3 linked regions of the Callithrix jacchus genome follow. The protein of the gene in region 3 purifies or fractionates together with the protein of the main gene of each other region. This does not show direct contact. Links are inferred from orthologs where the notes say so. Each region holds a gene or a part of one and is shown on either strand. Other genes may lie near its edges.

Evidence for each region.
Region 1: the proteins of RASSF1 (region 3) and MAP1S purify together in Homo sapiens (affinity purification with mass spectrometry; 4 studies listed by BioGRID and IntAct, counting the BioPlex papers as one, with this or other methods). This does not show direct contact. The link is inferred for Callithrix jacchus from reciprocal best matches to the Homo sapiens genes RASSF1 and MAP1S.
Region 2: the proteins of RASSF1 (region 3) and MAP1B purify together in Homo sapiens (affinity purification with mass spectrometry; 3 studies listed by BioGRID and IntAct, counting the BioPlex papers as one, with this or other methods). This does not show direct contact. The link is inferred for Callithrix jacchus from reciprocal best matches to the Homo sapiens genes RASSF1 and MAP1B.

Annotation. Positions count from the first base shown.
Region 1 is NC_133523.1:16,444,088-16,447,833, forward strand, and holds the start of MAP1S (microtubule-associated protein 1S), read left to right. Parts: upstream 1-1,406; 5' UTR 1,407-1,811; coding exon 1,812-1,932; intron 1,933-2,047; coding exon 2,048-2,149; intron 2,150-3,746. UniProt on the Homo sapiens protein: Microtubule-associated protein that mediates aggregation of mitochondria resulting in cell death and genomic destruction (MAGD). Plays a role in anchoring the microtubule organizing center to the centrosomes. Binds to DNA. Plays a role in apoptosis.
Region 2 is NC_133503.1:138,952,493-138,956,138, reverse strand, and holds part of MAP1B (microtubule-associated protein 1B), read left to right. Parts: intron 1-857; coding exon 858-1,096; intron 1,097-2,401; coding exon 2,402-2,557; 3' UTR 2,558-3,646. UniProt on the Homo sapiens protein: Facilitates tyrosination of alpha-tubulin in neuronal microtubules. Phosphorylated MAP1B is required for proper microtubule dynamics and plays a role in the cytoskeletal changes that accompany neuronal differentiation and neurite extension.
Region 3 is NC_133516.1:32,913,277-32,917,022, reverse strand, and holds the start of RASSF1 (ras association domain-containing protein 1), read left to right. Parts: upstream 1-1,530; 5' UTR 1,531-1,555; coding exon 1,556-1,805; exon of another isoform or gene 1,806-1,918; intron 1,919-3,746. Other genes in the region: ZMYND10 (zinc finger MYND domain-containing protein 10), read left to right, coding at 210-335, 419-540, 653-778, 867-942. UniProt on the Homo sapiens protein: Potential tumor suppressor. Required for death receptor-dependent apoptosis. Mediates activation of STK3/MST2 and STK4/MST1 during Fas-induced apoptosis by preventing their dephosphorylation.

The sequences.
Region 1 (3,746 bases), on a different chromosome or scaffold from region 3:
ATGAGCTAATACAGTAAAATGCCTGGCACGCAGGTGGTGCAGAATAAGTGTTGCCCTGTTCCATGCAGGCCCGGGGTTCCCCCTGTTGTATCCCAAACACACATGTACTCTCGTGCCTCGAAAACTTTCCACGTGCTGTAACCTCTGCCTCACGTGCTCTTGCCCCACCACTCATGTAAGGCAAACTCCTACACATCGCTCAAAGCTCTACCTATAAATAGATTTCTCTTCTCTGTTCAAGCCCTGACCTAGGGAGCTGGGAGCATCCAGGGGCGCCAGGTTCTGACTGGGCCTACTGTTAAGTGATGTGAGTTCGTGGAGGGCAGGAATTCTGACCTACATGCAACAGACAGGCGATCAAAGCTTGTTCAATGAAAAAAAAAGAATGAATGGTCCTTGGGAGAAGCAGCTCCCAAACAGACACCCAGGAGTCCGCCAACCCCTTTAGCACCCGCATTCCCTGCTCTCCATGACCTGAAAGGGCCAGTAGGTGGTCGACAAAAAGGGGCGGGGGTTGGGGTGGTTCCGGGCGGGGTCTTCAGTTCTTCCGGTGCAGCCCCTTTAAGAGGCGGGGCCAGCGGGGCGGGCGCTGAGAACGTCGGGGCGGTGCGAAGATGGCGGCTGTGCCTGGGCTCGGGGATGCCGCGGCCCCGAGTTCGCTGCTCCTCGTGGTGGGCAGCGAGTTCGGGTGCCCGGGGCTCCTCACCTACGTCTTAGAGGAGCTCGAACGAGGTCGGGCTGGCCCGGGGGCGCGCGACAGCCCGGGAGGCGGGCACGCTTCGCGCCTGGCCCCGGGGCCGGGTGGTGGGCGGCGGCTGCGGCGGCGGGGCCCAGGCTCTGGGGCGGGGATCGCGGGCCCGGGGCTGGGTCCCCTTCACCGTTAGGCACGTGACGCAGGCAAAGGCGGGGTGCCTGTGGGTACCCGCGGGGGAAGTGGCATCGGGGCCTGGGCTGGGCAGGGCTGCCCCGCCCCAACTCCGGGTGAAAATCGGGGAGGGGTCACGGGTCACGGGCCTAGGCGTGGGGACCCGCGCAGTTGGGCCATTGCTCCGCTTCCCGCCTGGCTGGCCCGCCCAGGGGGCGGGCTTGGGGACGCTTTGGGTCTTAGGTTTTAGCAGCTTAGAGAGCTAACGAAGGGAGAAGCAGATTTGGGGGAGGCTGGCCTGGAGCCCCGGGGCCCGCTTTCTGTTGCAGCACAAGGAGCTGCTAATTGGGGTGTGGGTGGGTGCGGCTTGCCCGGGGGATTTAGCACTTAGGGAGGTGAGTCATAGGTGCACCTGCCCGGTTCACCTGCAGCCACTTGGCACACTGGGACTGGCACAGTGGGACTTGCGGGCATGATGCGCCCGTGGGTGGAGATGGGTGTTCATCCCCCATTCCTTGGAGAATCTGGACCTGCGTGTTTCATTGATTGTAAAATGTGACAGGAACGCGCACCTCGCTTCATGTGCTTGGGGAGTGTTTAGTGAGCACCTGCTATGCGCCAGGCAGTGGGCACAGGGACATGGCTGGGATGATAGACAGATTCAGCCCTGCCAGCACAGGTTTGGTGGGGGGGATGGATCCAAAGCAAATGAGGAGATAGAACAAGCTTCCAGCTCACATGGTGTCAGGAGGGATCAGAAGTCTGCAAGGGGCTGAGGGGACAGCCAGTCTTAGCACCTGAAGGTGATAAGGGGGAAGGGCCCCTGGGCCAGTAGGAACAGGTGGGGGTGGCAGGGGGATGGGCTTCCAGGCAGAAGGAACAGCTGTTGCAAAGGCGGTGAGTGGAAACGGGCCTGGCAGGGCATAGGAGCAGCAAGGAGGTGGAGATGGAGGAGGTGGAGGCTTGGTTGCTGAGTCTTATCTGTAAAATGATGAGGTGTGCTCTGGGTCTCCTGGCTCAGCTGCATCGAGACCTGAAGGTGTTGGGTACTTCTGAGTCTCCAAGCTGTGAGTGAAGGGAGGAGGCTGGGGCGCTCCCTACCCACAGGGTGCTAGTTATTGAAATATTCTGGGGGCTGGGAAGCCTGGCTGAACTCCTGCCTCGATGCCTCCCTCCCACCAGGCATCCGGTCTTGGGATGTGGATCCAGGCATCTGCAACCTTGATGAACAGCTCAAGGTCTTTGTGTCCCGACACTCTGCCACCTTCTCCAGCATCGTGAAAGGTGAGGCTGGGGTGCCCCTGGCTGCTCCCCTATCTCTTATTCCCTGGACAAGTGCCAGCTGTCTGCCAGGCATGGGGGGTGGGGTATAGCTGTAAATAACAACACTAATAATATAACTGAGGCCTTTCAAATGCATGCCCTGACCCAGGGATAATCCCCTCAGTCCTCAGTAACCCACAGTGCAGGAACTGGTGTTTTCATCCCTGACTTACAGATGAGGAAACTGTGGCATGGAAGGGGGAAGAGGTGGGGAGGTCCCTGAGGAGGGGGTTTTTCGATGAGAAACTGCTATGACTGGTGTGTCCAGTGGAAGGGAAGTGCCCCATCCAAGACCCAGCAGTGGACAGAACATGAGAAGAGACCGAGTCCGTGGCTCACGCTTATGATCCCAGCACTTTGGGAGGCCGAGGCTGGCCGATTACTTGAGGTCAGGAGTTCAAGACCAGCCTGGCCAATATGGAGGAGCCTTGTCTCTCCTAGAAATACAAAAATTAACTGCCATGGTAGCAGGTACCTGTAATCCCAGCTATTCAGGAGGCTGAGGTGGGAGGATCACTTGAACCTGGTAGGAGGCAGAGGTTGCAGTGAGCTGAGATCTCAACACTGCACTCCAGCCTGAGTGACAGAGTGGGAGGGAATCTGTCTCAAAAAAGAAAAAAAAAAAACATCTGGAAGGTGGAGGGGGCACTGAGCAGGCCCTGGGAGATGGAGTGTGGGCCCCTTGGAGGCAGGGACTGAATTTGGTTTACAGCCACAGGGCTGGGTATACAGTAGGCGCTCAGTAGGTAGGGAACTGAAAAGGAGTGAGATCAAGGAGGGCCCACCTCAGCACGAGGCTCCCCTCTGGGGTGACCCAGGATGGGGGCACAGGGCTTGGGTGTTGTCTGAACAGCCCTGCGCTCCTGCTGGTCTCAAGTCACCTCTCGGCTGCTGCTGGAGAGGAAGGAAATGTCCGTCGTCTCATTGTCCCAGTGGGTCCTCGGGGCTTCCTGACTCTTCATGGGGCAGAAAGTGGGGCTAGAAATCCTGTCTGCTGTGTGCAACCTTTGTGGCCACTTCCCCTTCCTATGCCTTCCCCACCTGAATGGGGCAATATCTGCGTGCGACAAAAAGCATGCCAAGTCTGGGTGGGGTGGCTCTCGCCTGTAATCTCATCCCTTTGGGAGGTAAAGGTGGGAGGATCGTTTGAGGTCAGGAGTTCAAAACCAGCTGGGGCAACATGGTGTAACCCTGTTTCTATTGAAAATATAAAAATGAGCCGGGCCTGGTGGTGCACATCTGTAGTCCCAGCTACTCAGGAGGCTGAGGAGGGAGGATCTCTTGAACCCAGGAGCTAGAGGCTGCAGTGAGCTAGGACTGCGCCACTGCACTTCAGTCTGGGCAACAGAGCAAAATCCTGTCTCAAAAAAAAAAATAAAGCTAAACATGATAAGAGCTGACTGCACGGGACAGTCTGCTTCTCAAGACTCAGCCATGCTCACAGCCCGGTCCTGGGCCTCAGGGCCTTTGCTTTTGCTGTACCCTGGTCCAGGTTGGCCCTCCCTGGCCCTCCTCTGGCTCTGGCTACTTGCCACCCCTTTCTCACAGTGCTGATGTT
Region 2 (3,646 bases), on a different chromosome or scaffold from region 3:
CATCCGAGGTGATTCTAATTATGTGGTCAGGCTGAAGAACCACTGCCTCAAAATGCTCGTTCTATTAATGTTTCAAAAGCGTTAAACTTCCCAACGGGAACAAGTTTTCCCAGGCCTTTGTGATTTGACTGAGGGTTTTGGTTGCAGTCTGATATGTCCTGATTAGTTAGAGAAAGCCTGGTCTTTCTGAACCTTCCTTTGCCCAAGTTTGGCATCCAGCCTTGTCTAAGGAAAGAAATATCACTTTTCAGAATACTGTGCTAAGGAGAGAGAATACAGTGTTTCATCAGTTTTTACGAATGAGATTGAGGTGCTGAGGGCCTTGGAAATTATATGGGGTTAAGATCAAAACTATTTACTAGGTAGAATGTTAGGGCATAATATCCAGCTGTGGACAAAATTGCTATCAAACGAGACCCTAAAGTGGATTACTCAGATCACTTAGCAATGTTTTGCCAAATTCAGAAGTTTTCTTTTGACTGTTAAAATCTACTTCTTAGATCACTTATCAAATAAAAAAGCACATTAGCAACTTCTTTAGGAGGGACATTACATCTAGTGCCTTCTTGGCAAACGCCTTCAGGCTTCCTAACGGTGGTTGTCCACAAGGGAAACCGTCCCATTCTTCATTTTTCCTATTGAGATGGTAAACAACCTTGTTATGTTTTCTCACATTGCTAGTATAAATGCCCTTGACAGATTACCAGGAAGATGGAAATGCTGTCATCTCTTTGCATGTCCCAGAGCACCTGCTTGTGATTTAATAGGGAAGGTATGATAGAAAAGGGAAGGTGTGCTGGATGTATGGTCTCTTCACCTTGCTATGACCTTGCTTTGTCTTTGTGTATTTATCCAAGGACCAGGAACCACCAAGACGACCAAGTCCTCCGCGGTGCCTCCGGGCCTCCCTGTGTATTTGGACCTGTGCTACATTCCTAACCACAGCAATAGTAAGAACGTTGATGTGGAATTTTTCAAGAGAGTGCGGTCGTCCTACTACGTGGTGAGTGGGAATGACCCTGCTGCTGAGGAGCCCAGCCGGGCTGTCCTGGACGCCTTGTTGGAAGGAAAGGCCCAGTGGGGCAGCAACATGCAGGTGAGAGCCCCTCAACAGTGTCTGCACCACAGATCGAGCTGTGTCCAGAGGCAATGGGACAGAATCATGTTTAAAGAGGCACCTCATGTAGATGGTTGTGGATCCACAGGATGTGTCTCCTGTGTCTGCCACACATGAAATATCCTGAGAACAAAGTCAGTTTAACACACAGTAGGTAGTCTGAAATAATATTTTTGGCACCACCACCAACCATAGCTTTGGAGGAAAGCCACCTTAACTAAAGCAGAAATTGTTTATTCGCAAAATGGGCCCAAGATTAATTGTCCCTCCAGTGTGCCGAAAGTATTGTGTGTGTGAATCAAAGCAGTCATATTTCCATATGAGAGCTGCTGAGGAATTGCCTTTCTTCCTTTGTGTTTTATGAGTAGACTGCAGCGAGGAATATAGCCATTTGGAAAACAAGCTGTCCATGTGAAATTCCACAGTAGGAGCATTGCTGAATAGAGTCCCTTACTTACAGGACACTCCCAACTCCCAGACATCGTGCCTGACCACAGACCATTCCTTATTCATTTAGAAACAAGGTCTCCCTATTTTGCCTGGACTGGTCTCGAACTCCTGGGCTTAAATGATTCTTAGAACTAGCCATTATTAATTCAGCTGTGATCTTTGCTTATTAAGTTTTATTTGTGGTTCTGTACAGAATTACCTAGTAAACTGTGCTTGATATTGTACAGAATTACTTGTTATTTAATCACATGAAATCTAATGAGAGGCACCCACCCAGTGGCTTCTTACTGAATACTAGATGGAATTTATACTATTCAGGACATTACCTACCCACCCCATATCTCTATCCCCAACCACATACATAAAGTAAAGGTTCAGATCTGTTCTCAGGACAAAATGTTACACACAATGAGTGGGCTTTTGAGGGCTTTAAAGTGCTTGATAAAACTCTTTGGATGAAATATGCAGTACCTTTTATTCAAAACTTACCAGTTGTGTTAAAGGAAATACAAGAAATTGTACCCTAACAGAAGCAGTTTTCTGAACGGTAAAGAACTGAGAAACTGACAGTGGATCTAGGTGAACTAATTGACAAGTGATTAGTTGCTTTTGGTTCTAGGCTTCAACTTCCCTTAGAAACAATAGCTTTTCTTTGCAGCTTTATCTGGCTCCTGGAAAATATATGTTGAAAAGTCCTTTGCATTTCTTGAGGAAAATAGAAAACTTTTCTCTCATTTCCCTTCTTCTTCCAGTGATCTAATACCTTGCTATTCCATTTTTTTCATACGGTTTCTGTTTCTGCCCTTAAATAGCTATTTTATTCTCTACCCACAGGTGACACTGATACCAACTCATGACTCAGAAGTGATGAGGGAATGGTACCAGGAGACCCATGAGAAACAGCAAGACCTCAACATCATGGTTTTAGCAAGCAGCAGCACAGTGGTTATGCAAGATGAATCCTTCCCTGCATGCAAGATTGAACTGTAAAAACCAAGGCCAGCCACACCACAGGATCTGAACTTTGTTTCCAGAAATTCTTCAATTTGAAATCACCTTTTCTAAAAAGTCAATTCATCTAGTTAAGTCGCTGAACAATTACCTGCCAAATGCTATACTGTGTCATGGTGATGCAAGTCACTAAATTTCTCAGTTTTTGCTGATTGCTAAGGGAAGTAACAGTATTCCCACAATAGGGTTCAAGTTCCTGCGAAATTACCTACCCCAGTTCATCTCTGCTGAACATTTGGAAACCATGCACTAGCCAACCCAACTGACTTCTGCTAGGTAGAGGCATTTGTCTTAGAGAGAGAGAGAGCGCGGGAGAGAGTGAGAGAGAGTGAGAGCACAAAGAGAACGCAGGAGAGAGAGAGAATGAGAAAGAAAAGGAATGCAAGAGAAGGAGATGTAATGACAGAGAGTTCTGGTGAGATACCCAGAGAGAAAAAGAGAGAGCAGGGTGGGGTAAGGAGGAGAAAATAACCAACTATTAGGTCTGCATTTTCTCAGGCAGTAGGCATTCTTCAGTCTACATAGGCAAAGTTTTCTGTTTTTTGTCAGTCTGAGTCATCAAAGAGTCTTAATTTTCTAAAACAAGTTGTCTAGAAGAAAGTAAAAAGAACAAAATTTGTTATGAGGGCATGTGATATTTTCACATCTGAATTAGGCTCCTTCAGTTTGAAGCCTGCACACTGACATAATGTAGTGAGTATAGACCGGCCATGCAAGTGGTTTGGGCCCCATTCAGAACTCTCAGACTCTAAACACACAAGTAGATTTATCTAAGGCATGCTCCCAGCATTTGTCCACCCACGTAGTCCACTCTGAGTCGATTCACCTGCATGCAGCAACACCCAAGTCCACCCCAATTAACTGAAGCAAATACCAAAGCAGTTGGGAGTACATACGGTAGACAATTTGCCTTAGGAAGTGACTTGAATGTACAAAGATACTTGATGCACTTATTTTTTAATGTGAGACAGCAAGTTTATAAAACATCCATATAGGATTATAGATACGTAAAGGAGCACGTGGGTGAGCGTGTGTGGGGGTCTAGAAGCTGATCTGATTGGTCCAACA
Region 3 (3,746 bases):
CCATCCTACCCCAACTGCGTCCCTGCTGTTTATCTTTGCCCACCCACCTCAGTCCCAGTACTCTTTTCAGTCCTTGGGCCTCAGGTGACACAGCAGCTAGTGGGACATGGGTCCCTACAGGCATGCTCAGCCCAACCCAGCCCCTTCCTTTTCCTTGGCCCCCTGGCCAGCACCTGCATCACACTGGCCTCCACTGGATACCCTTGCAGCTTCGGGCCTTCCTCACAGACACCCTACTGGACCAGCTGCCCAACCTGGCCCACCTGCAGAGTTTCCTGGCCCACCTGGCCCTGGCTGAAACCCAGCCCCCTAAGAAGGACCTGGTGTTGGAACAGGTAGGCACTGGAAAGTTAGCTGCTCAGGACCACTGTCCTACTTTACCAGCTCCTTCCTGCCACTCTCCACTTCTCTCCCCTAGATCCCAGAAATCTGGGAGCGGCTAGAGCGAGAGAACAGAGGCAAGTGGCAGGCAGTTGCCAAGCACCAGCTCCAGCATGTGTTCAGCCCCTCAGAGCAAGACTTGCGGCTGCAGGCACAAAGGTAAGGCCTGTGGAACTGGCAGGGTGGGGTGGGTGGGATGCAGGAGGCATGGATGTGGGCAGGGGTGCTCCCACCTTCCAGGGCCAGTCAGACCTTCCTGATTCTCCCCAAGGTGGGCTGAGACCTACAGGCTGGATGTGCTAGAGGCAGTAGCTCCAGAGCGGCCCCACTGTGCCTACTGCAGTGCAGAGGCTTCCAAGCGCTGCTCACGATGCCAGAATGAGTGGTATTGCCAAAGGTGAGGATATCCTAGGACCTTGGACCCCTAAGCCCTACTCCCACATCCCCCACATGTGCTGAGATCCTGAGTACCCACCTGCCTACAGGAAGTGCCAAGTCAAGCACTGGGAAAAGCATAAAAAGACTTGTGTCCTGGCAGCCCAGGGTGACAGAGCCAAATGAGGGCTGTCCTTGCTGAGGGCTGACCAACCCATGCCAAGGGAATCCACTCAGAACGCACCCCTGAATCTCAAGATCACGGGCCAGCCTCTGCCAGAGCCCCAGTCTCTGTGGTGGAGAGCAAAGCGGGCGGTAAAGGTGCTGACCCATCCCCCTCCTCCCCTCCCCAAGGGAAGGCTTGAGACTTCCTGCTCCACCCTGTGGGCAGGCCAAGTGCTTTGCCTCAGCAAACCGGGGCGGGAGGGCGAGGGCCGGATGCGGGGACCCTCTTCCTCTAGCATGGTAAAGCTGGCCTCCAGAAACACGGGTCCACGTGGTGTTTTGCGGTCGCCGGCGTCGTGGCCGTCGGGGGTTGGGGGTGAGGAGGGGACGAAGGAGGGAAGGAAGGGCAAGGCCGGGGATCTGCGAGAGCGCCCCCCACCCCGACACACGCCCAACCCCGCCTTCGGGCCCCACAGTCCCCCCCACCCAGGTTTCCATTGCGCGGCTCTCAGCTCCTTCCCGCCTCGTCAGCCTAGATCTCGGGGGCGGTGCTAAAGTCAGACCCGCCCTGCGGCCCCGCCCGGCCCGCGCTTCCTAGCGCCCAAAGCCAGCCAAGCCCCGGTCCGACCGGGCCATGTCGGCAGAACCTGAGCTCATTGAGCTGCGGGAGCTGGCACCCACCGGGCGCGCCGGGCAGGGCCGCACTCGGCTGGAGCGTGCCAACGCGCTGCGCATCGCGCGGAGTACTGCGCGTAACCCCGCACGGCAGCTGGTCCCGGGCCGTGGCCACCGCTTCCAGCCCGCGGGGCCCGCCACGCACACGTGGTGCGACCTCTGCGGCGACTTCATCTGGGGCGTCGTGCGCAAGGGCCTGCAGTGCGCGCGTGAGTAGCGGCCCCGCGCGCCTACGAGAGCGGAAGGGGCAGCCAAGGGGCAGCGCCGTCGCCGCGGGTCAAGACGCGGCAGAGGGTCGGCAGGGACAGCTCCCGCAGACTAGGTCCGTTACTTTTGCCCCATCGCTGAAGAGTGTGCGAAAATGGTTTATCCCTTTTCGAAGTCCTCCCGTATCTGGGGCACAGATGGGCAGAGGTGGCTGCTTGTATGTAAAAATGTGCTGATTTCAAGTTTCTTTAAAGTGCCTTGGCCCTTCTTGAGAAAGGATTTGTGCCTACTGTTCTCTGAGGCCATCTTTCCAGGCTTGCCTCTTCCCGAAGATTCACTCACTGTGACTCCCCTCCAGAACCTTTGGGGTGAAGTTACCCACCTATATGGGAGGGAGCCTGGAAAAAGTTAGAGCCTTGGGAGGGCCCCCTGCAAGCAGGAGTTTTGTTGAGTCTTTATTTAGCAAACACCCATTTCTGACCCAGTGAATCAGATGCTAAAATATGGAATACAGTTACACACCCAGCAGTCCTTCTGCACCCCTGGGAATCACCAGCAAGGCAAAAGTTGCTCTCCCATAGCTAGACACCAGCTGGAATCACCAGGGGCACTTTTACAGCCCTCTGACCTTCTATGCTTAGATCCCACCTCAGACCTGTTGAATCAACTGCTGGGAGTGGACCCTAGGCATCAGCAAATTTTAAAAACTCCCCAAATAATTGTAACAGGAACTTGTGGGTGGTTGGTGTCCCAGGTCTGTGTGTTCGTGGAGACCCTCTCATCTGGTACAAGAGAATATCACAAATTCAGCTGGGGGAAGCACAAAGTTGTGAAAGAATACAAAGAATGAACAAGGAGACGGCCACGGTGGCTCACGTCTGTAATCCTAGCACTTTGGGAGGCCGAGGTGGGTGGATCACCTGAGGTCAGGAGTTCAAGATTAGCCTGGCCAACATGGCGAAACCCCATCTCTACTAAAAATACAAAAAATTATCTGGGTGTGGTGGTGGGTGCCTGTAATCCCAGCGACTCAGAAGGCTGAGGCAGGAGAATCGTTTGAAGCCAGGTGGCGGAGGCTGCAGTGAGTTGAGATCGTACCACTACACTCCAGCCTGGCAACAGAGACTCTGTCTCAAAAAAAAAAAAAAAAAGAACAAGGCTGGGATATTGTAGCGTTCTCAAAGAAAAATAAAGTGGCCATGGAGATAAAAAAAAAAAGCAGGACGATTTGGGCGTGTATCAGAAGTAGAGACAAGGGAGGAATCAAAGATAAGTAGGTTTTGTCTCCAGTAACTGGGAGCAATGTGGCCATTTTTGCTGCAGTGAGGAAGCTAGGCAAGGGTAGCAGTGAGGTGGAAGAAAGGGGAATTAAATTTTGACCATGTTCACTTGAAACATCCTTTAGACATCCTAGTGAAGGTACTGGCACAGAGGATCTAATCTAGGTCAGTGTTTCAACTGTGGATCTGAGGCAGGTGGGTGTAGAGAGACCAGGCCAGCTATCAGGACTGAGCCCAGACCACCGTGAGATCTGGAAGTCGAGTCAGAATCTGCAAAGGAGCTGAGCAGGAGCTGCAGGTTGATAGGAGGAAACCCGCGAGAATGTGTCCCCGGGGAGTCAAAGGGAGCAGGCTTCAAATGATGCTGAGGGGGTGAGAATGGAGACTGGGATACTGGATTCCATTTGGCAGTATGCAGATCGCTGAGGACCCTGTCCTGGGCAGTTTCCTGGAGGGAGAGGCAAGCCTGGCTGGAGTGGGTGGAGGAGAGAGTGAAGGCTGATTAGAATCTATAGAGACCAGTGTTTTGGTCTGAGGGGAGTAGAGACGGATGACAACCAGAGGGAGGACATAGGTTAAAGACGTTTGGTTTTGGCCGGGCATAGTGGCTCACGCCTGTAATCCAAGCACTTTAGAGGCCAAGGTGGGCGGAAAAAGTTTGGT